2 linked regions of the Canis lupus familiaris genome follow. The protein of the gene in region 1 interacts with the protein of each later gene in a biochemical or structural test. Links are inferred from orthologs where the notes say so. Each region holds a gene or a part of one and is shown on either strand. Other genes may lie near its edges.

The links.
Region 2: the proteins of COPS7A (region 1) and COPS6 form a complex in vitro, tested with the Homo sapiens proteins (3 studies listed by BioGRID, with this or other methods). The link is inferred for Canis lupus familiaris from reciprocal best matches to the Homo sapiens genes COPS7A and COPS6.

The regions. Positions count from the first base shown.
Region 1 is NC_049248.1:7,780,702-7,784,931, reverse strand, and holds the start of COPS7A (COP9 signalosome complex subunit 7a), read right to left. Parts: upstream 2,828-4,230; 5' UTR 2,669-2,827; exon of another isoform or gene 2,556-2,668; intron 2,186-2,555; 5' UTR 2,143-2,185; coding exon 1,981-2,142; intron 313-1,980; coding exon 237-312; intron 15-236; coding exon 1-14.
Region 2 is NC_049227.1:9,446,805-9,451,285, reverse strand, and holds COPS6 (COP9 signalosome complex subunit 6), read left to right. Parts: upstream 1-1,652; 5' UTR 1,653-1,677; coding exon 1,678-1,801; intron 1,802-2,022; coding exon 2,023-2,148; intron 2,149-2,341; coding exon 2,342-2,473; intron 2,474-2,800; coding exon 2,801-2,889; intron 2,890-2,978; coding exon 2,979-3,041; intron 3,042-3,347; coding exon 3,348-3,395; intron 3,396-3,472; coding exon 3,473-3,587; intron 3,588-3,680; coding exon 3,681-3,773; intron 3,774-3,865; coding exon 3,866-3,966; intron 3,967-4,072; coding exon 4,073-4,213; 3' UTR 4,214-4,331; downstream 4,332-4,481. UniProt on the Homo sapiens protein: Component of the COP9 signalosome complex (CSN), a complex involved in various cellular and developmental processes.

The sequences.
Region 1 (4,230 bases):
ATTCCGGGCTTCAGCTGGGATAAAAGGACAAAGCAGAGGAAATCTTGATTACACTTTCGTGGGAAGCCCTAGCTTCCTACCCTCTACTTAAAAAAATTTTTTTAGTCTTCCATGTCAATTCAGGTCTTGACCCTGACCCTGTGTACCCCAGGAGGGTTTCCCAGGAATTTCTTTGAAGTCCTTCCAGAAACTGCCCTTCTCCCACCACTACTCCAGAGCTCTAACCCTCTGGTTACCTAAGTAATCAGCATATGTCCCATAGGCGAACACAGTGAGTAGCCGGAATGTGGAAGCGAAATCACTCTCAGCTAGCTGCAAAAATACAAAGGAAGAGGTGACAGGACAGGCGTCTCTCCAGTTCCCTAGCCTCATTCTGTTTTCAATTCCACTTTCTGGCCCCATCTCTCCCTTCTCCCATCAGCTCTCCCAGCCCCCAACCCCCCCCGGACTTCTCTGCCTCTCTGATGGCTCTCCCTATACGAAGGCCTCATTGCCACCTCCAGGCCCTTGTCTACACTACTCCCCCCAATCCACCATGCCCTCTTTCTCCGTACGTCTTCATTCTTACCCCAAATTCAGAACTGAGCACATTCAGAGTGTTTGGTAGTGAGCGCACATGCATGTACACACACACACACGCACTCAGACATTGTAAACTGCATTTTGGTCCTTAGAGCATGTTTAATATTTCTGAATCTGAGTAGGCAGTCTGCCGTACCTCCCAATTCACCAAACACTCCTGCGTTACCCTCATGCATCTCTGAGAGCTGCATGGCCTCTACGTCAGACCTGCAGCACCCAGGAGGCTTTCATCATCCAGGCCAGCCCACTCAGATCTCCTCTCCAATCACTGATCACTCATTCTGGCACTTAATCGATCAAACCCTTAGGCTGTTACCGAAGAATATCTTTCTTTCCAATATGATAACAGCTCCAGGCCCTGGTATCCCACCCAGTTAGGTCTGCAGAGCTATTCAGGTCTGCAGAGCTATTTGGCTCTCAGAAAATACTTGCTAAATGAGTAATTTACATGGCCATATCCATTCATCTTATCTCTGCAACTGGAATATAAGTTTTAGGAGGATAATAAGCACTGTGTCTTACACTTTTCTGGTATTCCCAGATGACCCGCAGAGATAAACAAGCACTCAACAAATGCTTGTTTTTTTCACCTTAACGGACCCTCTTTAGTTCCACTGTAGAAGAAAGCGTAGGGAAAGAAGGCAGCCAGAGTTTTCTCCATATACCAGTGACTCCTGAAGGCTAAATCCATTGACTCCATCAATTACTGGCTCTCAAAAAGCTAACACAGTTTGCCTGCATATCAATGCCATAGCACCTCAGGACTTGAGCTGATGTCACACATCTTGGTGATCCAGCACCCCCTAGACTTTAAACTCTTAACTCTATGTGAACAGTTCTCTCTGCTGTGTCCCTAGCATCTTGCCACATGTCTCGGGGAGAAAGCCACCTTCTAACACTTCTAGGCACTTATCTAACTTAAGTGAATGAACAAAGGGTACAAAGTGAGGAGAGGAGGGGCTGCCAATTTCATGTTCATTCCTCCCAATTGTACCAGATTCTACACTTCCCATAATCTGACCTGATTCCTATAATTGACACTGAGGGGCAGTATCAGTTTCAATTTTAAACGGAGGTCTTAAAGTAAAAGTGACCTGATCAAGGCAACATGATCTTACTAAGAGGTACTACATTGGAGGAGACAGGATGGAATTAGGTCTCCTTTTCTGAATCACTCTTTGGCTTAAAAATGAAAAACAGTGGGTTTTACAGATGATTCATCAGCAAAGGAAAGTGAGAGGTTTACTTGCCTACTTATTTTGCCAGCTGCTAATTAATCATCACCATATTCCTGTTCAACCGAATGGTTATGCGGTTGCAAATGAGCCCTGCCCACCCATTCTCAAATTCAGACTTAGTCCCAAGCTTCCATGTGTGCCTTCTAGGCCAGGAACCCACCTCTCTAACATTAGGCATATCCAGCAGTTCCCCAAACACGTAGACACCAGGAGCCTCCAGCACCTGGTGGATGAGTGTGGCCAGCGCTGCCCCCTTGGCCGACTTGGCCAAGAGCAGAAATTGCTCCTGGTTCTGCCCTGTCACCTTCACCTCGGCACTCATGGCTGCACTGAGCTGGGAGGGCCTGGGCTCAGGATATCTGGAGCTGCAAGGAGAGAGAATGTGAAGCTGGAAGTCCCTGAACCCTGGGAGGGCGGGAAGCACAGGGGCCAGGGGCTGGACTGCAGAGGCACTGAGTCACATCTACAAATGAAGAACGAGAGATGGGGCTGTCTAAAACTCGGTTCTAGAAATCCGAAAACCGGCCACTTTGACGGACGCCTGGCTGAGACAGAGTTGCCAGGCCCCCTCCCCCATCCCTGGGCCTGATCCCAAGGCCCACCACGTGCACCCCACTGAACCCCAAGGCATAGGATGCGGTGGGGGAAGGGGTGTCACATGGCGTCCACCCTAACAACAACGCTCCCTCAAATTTCCACGGTGCCGCACAAGTACCCCCAACCACGTGACCTCACCCTCACGATCCTTCCACGTGGCTCCGCCCCCTCCCTTAAAGAGGCCGCCCAGGGACCGCGGGCTCACGCCGACTGCCCCGTCGTACCCTGGGTCAGACTCTGCGGGCCGCTACCTGGAAGCTTCGTCTTCCAGCACACCGGGCGGGGCAGCCACTCCGTCACCTCCGGCAGCTGTTCCAAGCCTTTCCTGCCACCTCCCCGCAGAGTCGCTCTGGCCACTACACTCTATGGCGGGCTTCCGGCTCGTACTTCCGCTCTGGCGAGGCCAGGCCCCTCCCCCGCCTTCCGACGGCTGAAGCTCCGGCGAGCGCCAGTCATTCTACTCTCTGATTGGCTGTTGAGGAAGAAGGACGGCGTCTTTTTTTTTTCCTGCTTTGTTTCAATAAAACTTTATTGTCCGACGAGCGCTAGATGGTAAATGCGAAGGGAGCCCCTTGTCTGCAGCAGGTACCGGGTGGTTAAGTGTCTGTTCAAAGCTGCTTGAAACCTGGAGATCGGGCTGCACAGGGCGCTGGAGGCGGCAGGAAAGCTGTAATGAGAAAGAGCGGCCTGGAGAAGGAAAAAAGGGAGGGAGGGAAATGAGAGACAGGAAGAAGACAAGAATAGTAGAAGTTTCGCAGCAGGGATCCCCTGGCTATTTTATTTTTTTTTTTATTTTTATTTTTTTTAAAAATTTTTTATTTATTTATGATAGTCACACAGAGAGAAAGAGGGAGGCAGAGACACAGGCAGAGGGAGAAGCAAGCTCCATGCACCGGGAGCCCGACGTGGGATTCGATCCTGGGTCTCCAGGATCGCGCCCTGGGCCAAAGGCAGGCGCTAAACCGCTGCGCCACCCAGGGATCCCCCTCCCTGGCTATTTTAACCACTCCTTTTTTTTTGAGGAGCAAGAGGAAAGTAGTGGGAAAAGTACAGGAAGTAATAATAGGTAACACTGACATTGTAGTAACATTGCTTACTATTGGTGAGGCATCTTTTAAAATTGCATCCCGTTGAATCCTCGTAACTATACTGCATCCCCAGTGTGACTCCGGGAGTACTTGTAGAGTGAGGCTTTCGTGCGCATCGAGTCTTTTCATTCCTGCGAGACGAAAAACCCCTAGGTGTAAGGAAGGTATCTGTTATTACTTTAACTTTATAGATAAGGAAATTGATGCTCATAAAAATTTAGAGATTTCGGGATGCCTGGGTGGCTCAGTGGTTGAGCGTCTGCCTTTGGCTCAGGGCGTGATCCTAGAGTCCCGGAATTGAGTCCCACATCCGGCTCCCTGCATGGAGCCTGCTTCTCCCTCTGCCTGTGTCTCTGCCTCTATCTCTGTGTCTCTATGAATAAATAAAATCTTAAAAAAAAAGTTAGAGATTTCAAATTGAACACCTATAAAAAAAAATAAAGTTAGAGATTTGCCTGGAACTCATGTCTCTTCAAGCTGGAAACTATCTTTCCACGTTACCATGATACTTTAGGAAAAATAATAAATAACTAACAGTTCTGTAGTATTTTACATCATACGGGCTTGCAGAAGGTCAAATAAGAATAAAGTTAATGACGTTTTGGAGGACTTTGTGTTAGATGCTGAATGAAGAGGTTTAGTTAATTCATTTGATGCTTATAACAATCTATTATTTTTATTTTCTAGATGGAAAAACTGAGGCCCAGGGAAGTTAAGTAATTTAT
Region 2 (4,481 bases), on another chromosome or scaffold:
TTGGGGTGCACAAAACTCTTTCTCACAAAATCTACCTAACAATGGGTCAGTAGTTAAGGTGTCAGATGGACATTCTATGCTCCCTGCCATCCACAGCATCTGAGTGCCAAGGGCTGGAACGACGTCCTCCAAATCATTCCTACTTCTCTTACTTCCTCTTGGTCCACGGACCTTAGTAAGGCATCCTGGTTGCTAAATGTGGCTGTCCCCTGAATGTGTTTGTCTCCTCCTGGTTGGTCTTGACCAGAGGGTACTGATCAGGATGGAAGGAGGGCTTTCTAGACTTGTTCTGAAAATTAAAGATTTTGCCCTGACCATTCCTTGGAATGACACTTCTCCCTGTCCTCCCTCTCCCCACCCCATACCCACCCCAGGCCATCCTGGTTGCAGGCAAAAGGGAGCCTAGCAAACTCCAACTTAATTTTATTTCGGCCACCAGGATTCTCTTCATGGACTGACATAATTCTGGATCATAAAGACAATGACCATTTGATTGAGGGTGCTGCTCTCCAGCTCCCCCACAGTGGGCTGCGTGTGCTATGGCGGGCTGAACAGTGGCCCCCAAATACAGCCAGGTCCCAATCCTTGGAACCTGTGAATGTTACTTTACAGGGAAAAAGAGATTTTGCAGATCTGATTGAAGTATGAATCTTCGGATGGGGAGATTATCGTGGATTTATGATTAAGGATCTTCAGATGGGGAGATTATCCTGGGTTATCCCAGTGGGCACTGTATATAATGCCAGGTGTCTTTATAAGAAAGAAGCAAGGAGGGGTTTTATCGCACAAGGCGATGTGACTACAGAAACAGAGGGACAAAGAAAAAGATTTGAAGATGCTGCTAAAACACTGGAACTGAAGGAAACTGGAACACATTTCCTGGTACCTGCTGGTTGCGGGCACTGGAGTGGGCTCTGCAGGCTCAAGGCACAGGTCTTCACCTGCTTTCTGAGAGCTTTCACTTTGGATGTGGCACAGGCATACACTGAAAGAACCAGCTAGACAAATGGGTAGGGGAGCAAGGGGGAGTAAACGCAGTGCACAGCGACGTGCTTGGGCGTAGGAGTGGGGAGGGGTCGGAGTGGGCTGGGTTTGTCCCAAGCGAGTTTTGAAAGGCTGCTGGAGATGGAGGATAGAGGGAGGCCGGGAAGGGCTGGAGTGCTGGGCACGTTCCTAGTATGTAGGTAATACGGTATTTGCAAGGAGGAAAGGACACGCCGGTGAACCATTCGCGACCAGGTTTCACCTCAGATTATCCACTCAGTGAAATACCTATTTAGGTCCTTGGCTGTCGGGTTGGACGCGGCAGAGGCCCGCACGTGGGCGTGGGGCATACGAAGGGAACTGCCAGGGGAGCCGGCGCGGCTGAAGCACGAGGACCGAGGGCCGGGTGGCAGGCAGGGTCCTGACCCTGCGGGGCCTTGCACGCCATGGCCCGGGCGCGGATCTTGTTCTGAGGGCAATAACGTGGTTCTTCATTAATTCTGCAACAGTCTTAGGAACTGGGCCGTTTTATCCCAGTTTTACTGACGAGGACGGTAAGGCTGGGAGCGCGCAGGGTGAAGTAATTTGTCCCAGATCTGTCACCGCCGCAAGCGCGTGGCGGACCCGGTCTTCCGAAGTCCACCCGCTCCGGGGCCGCCCGCCCCACCCGCCGAGGCCCCGCGCCCACTGAGCATGCGCCGCTGGCCTACGGAAGCCGACGGGGAGGGGGCGGGGCCGAGGCTGGCGGGCGCGGGGAAAATGGCGGCGGCGGCGAACGGGACTGGAGGGAGCAGCGGGATGGAGGTGGATGCGGCAGGTAACGGGCCTCGCGGAGGCGGCCTCTGGTGACGCCCCCCGGGGAGCGACAAGGCCCCCCTGGACTCCCGGGAGGAGTCAGCAGTCGGGACGGCGATCCCGCCCCCTGGACTAACTTGCGGGAGGGATGTATGGCTCCGGCTCTGCCGTCTCCCGCTCGCAGCTCCGGGGCAGAACGTGCGGCCCCGACGCTCACTCGTCCTCCTTTTCCTCCACCCTCAGTAGTCCCCAGCGTGATGGCCTCCGGCGTGACGGGGAGCGTCTCCGTCGCTCTTCATCCCCTCGTCATTCTCAACATTTCAGACCATTGGATTCGCATGCGCTCCCAGGAGGGGCGGCCTATGCAGGGTGCGTGCTGGGCGTCAATCTCCAACCTCCTCTCCTTGGTCACCTGCCCCAAGTAGGGGTCTTTGCCCCCGCCCTTCCTGAGGCCAGTCCCCCCTCCCCAGGTCACCGTGTCTCCAGCATTGCGTTCCCACTGACCTCGACCCAGGGACCGGATTCTTAACCCTCCTGTTTTCCGTGTCGCTCTCTCCCCCAGTGATTGGGGCGCTGATCGGGAAGCAGGAGGGCAGAAATATCGAGGTGATGAACTCCTTTGAGCTGCTGTCCCACACCGTGGAGGAGAAGATTATCATTGACAAGGAGTATTACTACACCAAGGAGGAGCAGTGTGAGAGGGGGATAGACTCGGGGGTGAGGAGTGGGAGTGAGAAACAAAGGCAGAGTGGGGAAGATGGAGAGTGATGGGGAAAAATAGGAGAATGGGACAAGAACTGTGTTTGTGTGAGGAGAGTATCACAAAGGATCTCAGAAAAGGAACAGTTTAGGTACCCACCCCCCAGACAGTAATAGATGAGAGAAGATAGAAGGGACTAATTATTGAGAACTGAGCCAGGAGTTGAGCGGGGAGGGGAGAAGCTGATGAAAAATATACCAGGAGTTTCCAATGAAGGGAGGGTGATTTAAAGAATGATACCCTGTGCTCTTTCCCCTGCAGTCAAACAGGTGTTCAAGGAGCTGGAGTTTTTGGGTTGGTATACCACCGGGGGGCCGCCTGACCCCTCTGACATCCACGTCCACAAGCAGGTACACATGCATGCTGGTGCATGCTGGGGCAGGGCTTGAGCAGGGGAGGAAAGATGGGCATTGACACCCACATCCCCATTCCCTTCCAGGTGTGCGAGATCATCGAGAGCCCTCTCTTTCTTAAGTTGAATCCTATGACCAAGCACACAGATGTGAGTAATACTGACCCCATGCCCACTTAGGCACGGTGCTGGACAAGCATGACAATCTTACCCTCCTCCCCTGCTGTGCTTTACATCTCTGTTGGGCTGAATCTTCACTTGAGGTGAATTCTCCGCTCAGCAGCTGTGTGACTTTAGGTTAATCATTTAATCTCAGAACTGCTTTTTGCCCTATGTATAAGGTGGGGGTTAGCCTTACTTCAGTGGGCCCTTGGGAAGATTGGGAAAATCTGCAGAAGAGCCAGTACGGTAGCCCAGGTGCACTTGATGTAAGAGCTGTCTCCCGTTGCTTTACAGCTTCCCGTCAGTGTTTTTGAGTCTGTCATCGATATAATCAATGGAGAGGTAATGCCCTGCCTTTCAACCCCGCGGTCCTGCTCCTTGGCCTTTCCTGCTCCTGACTCTGCTTTTGTGCCCTGTAGGCCACGATGCTGTTTGCGGAACTGACCTACACTCTGGCCACAGAGGAAGCTGAACGCATTGGCGTCGACCACGTGGCCCGAATGACAGCCACAGGCAGCGGCGAGAACTCCACAGGTAAGGAAGACTGGAGGTGTTTCCTCAGCAGTGGGGGGTGGAAAGCGTGGCCAGGTGCGTTTTCAACCTTGGCCTCTCCCTGTCTCCCCCCAGTGGCCGAACACCTGATAGCACAACACAGTGCCATTAAGATGCTGCACAGCCGGGTCAAGCTCATCTTGGAATATGTCAAGGCCTCTGAAGCGGGTAGGACAGGCGTCTCCCTGGCACGCCTACCACTTTTTCTCACTCCTGAGGGTGACCTCATCCACATTAATGCAGTCCTTCTGTGCCTTTAGGAGAGGTTCCCTTTAACCATGAGATCCTGCGGGAGGCCTATGCTCTGTGTCACTGCCTCCCTGTGCTCAGTACAGACAAGTTCAAGACAGACTTTTACGATGTGAGTCTAAAACCCAGGCTGGGGACGTGGGGTTTGTACATCATGTCTGCACGCAGGACCCGGGACTCAGACATTCCCTGGGCAACTGGTTTTCTGTTCCTTCCAGCAATGCAATGACGTGGGGCTCATGGCCTACCTTGGCACCATTACCAAAACCTGCAACACCATGAACCAGTTTGTGAACAAGTTCAACGTCCTCTATGACCGACAAGGCATCGGCAGGCGGATGCGGGGGCTCTTCTTCTGAGAGGGTACTTGAAGGGACGATGCACAGGTTGGACAGTGGTCCCACAGGGGAGGGGCATCACACTCCCTTTAGAGAAACCTCCTGTTGATAATAAAAGAGGAGCAGCCCCTCAGCACCCCTTGCAGTGGCTCTGTCCTCTCTGTTGGGCACCACACGGCTTTCTCAACTCGGATCTTGAAAGGAGGCCCTTGGTTCCAGCCTTGCTCGGCAGGACAGCCTGATTGGGAACTCTCTGCCACTTGAGGTGACCCCGTCCTGTCAGGTGGAT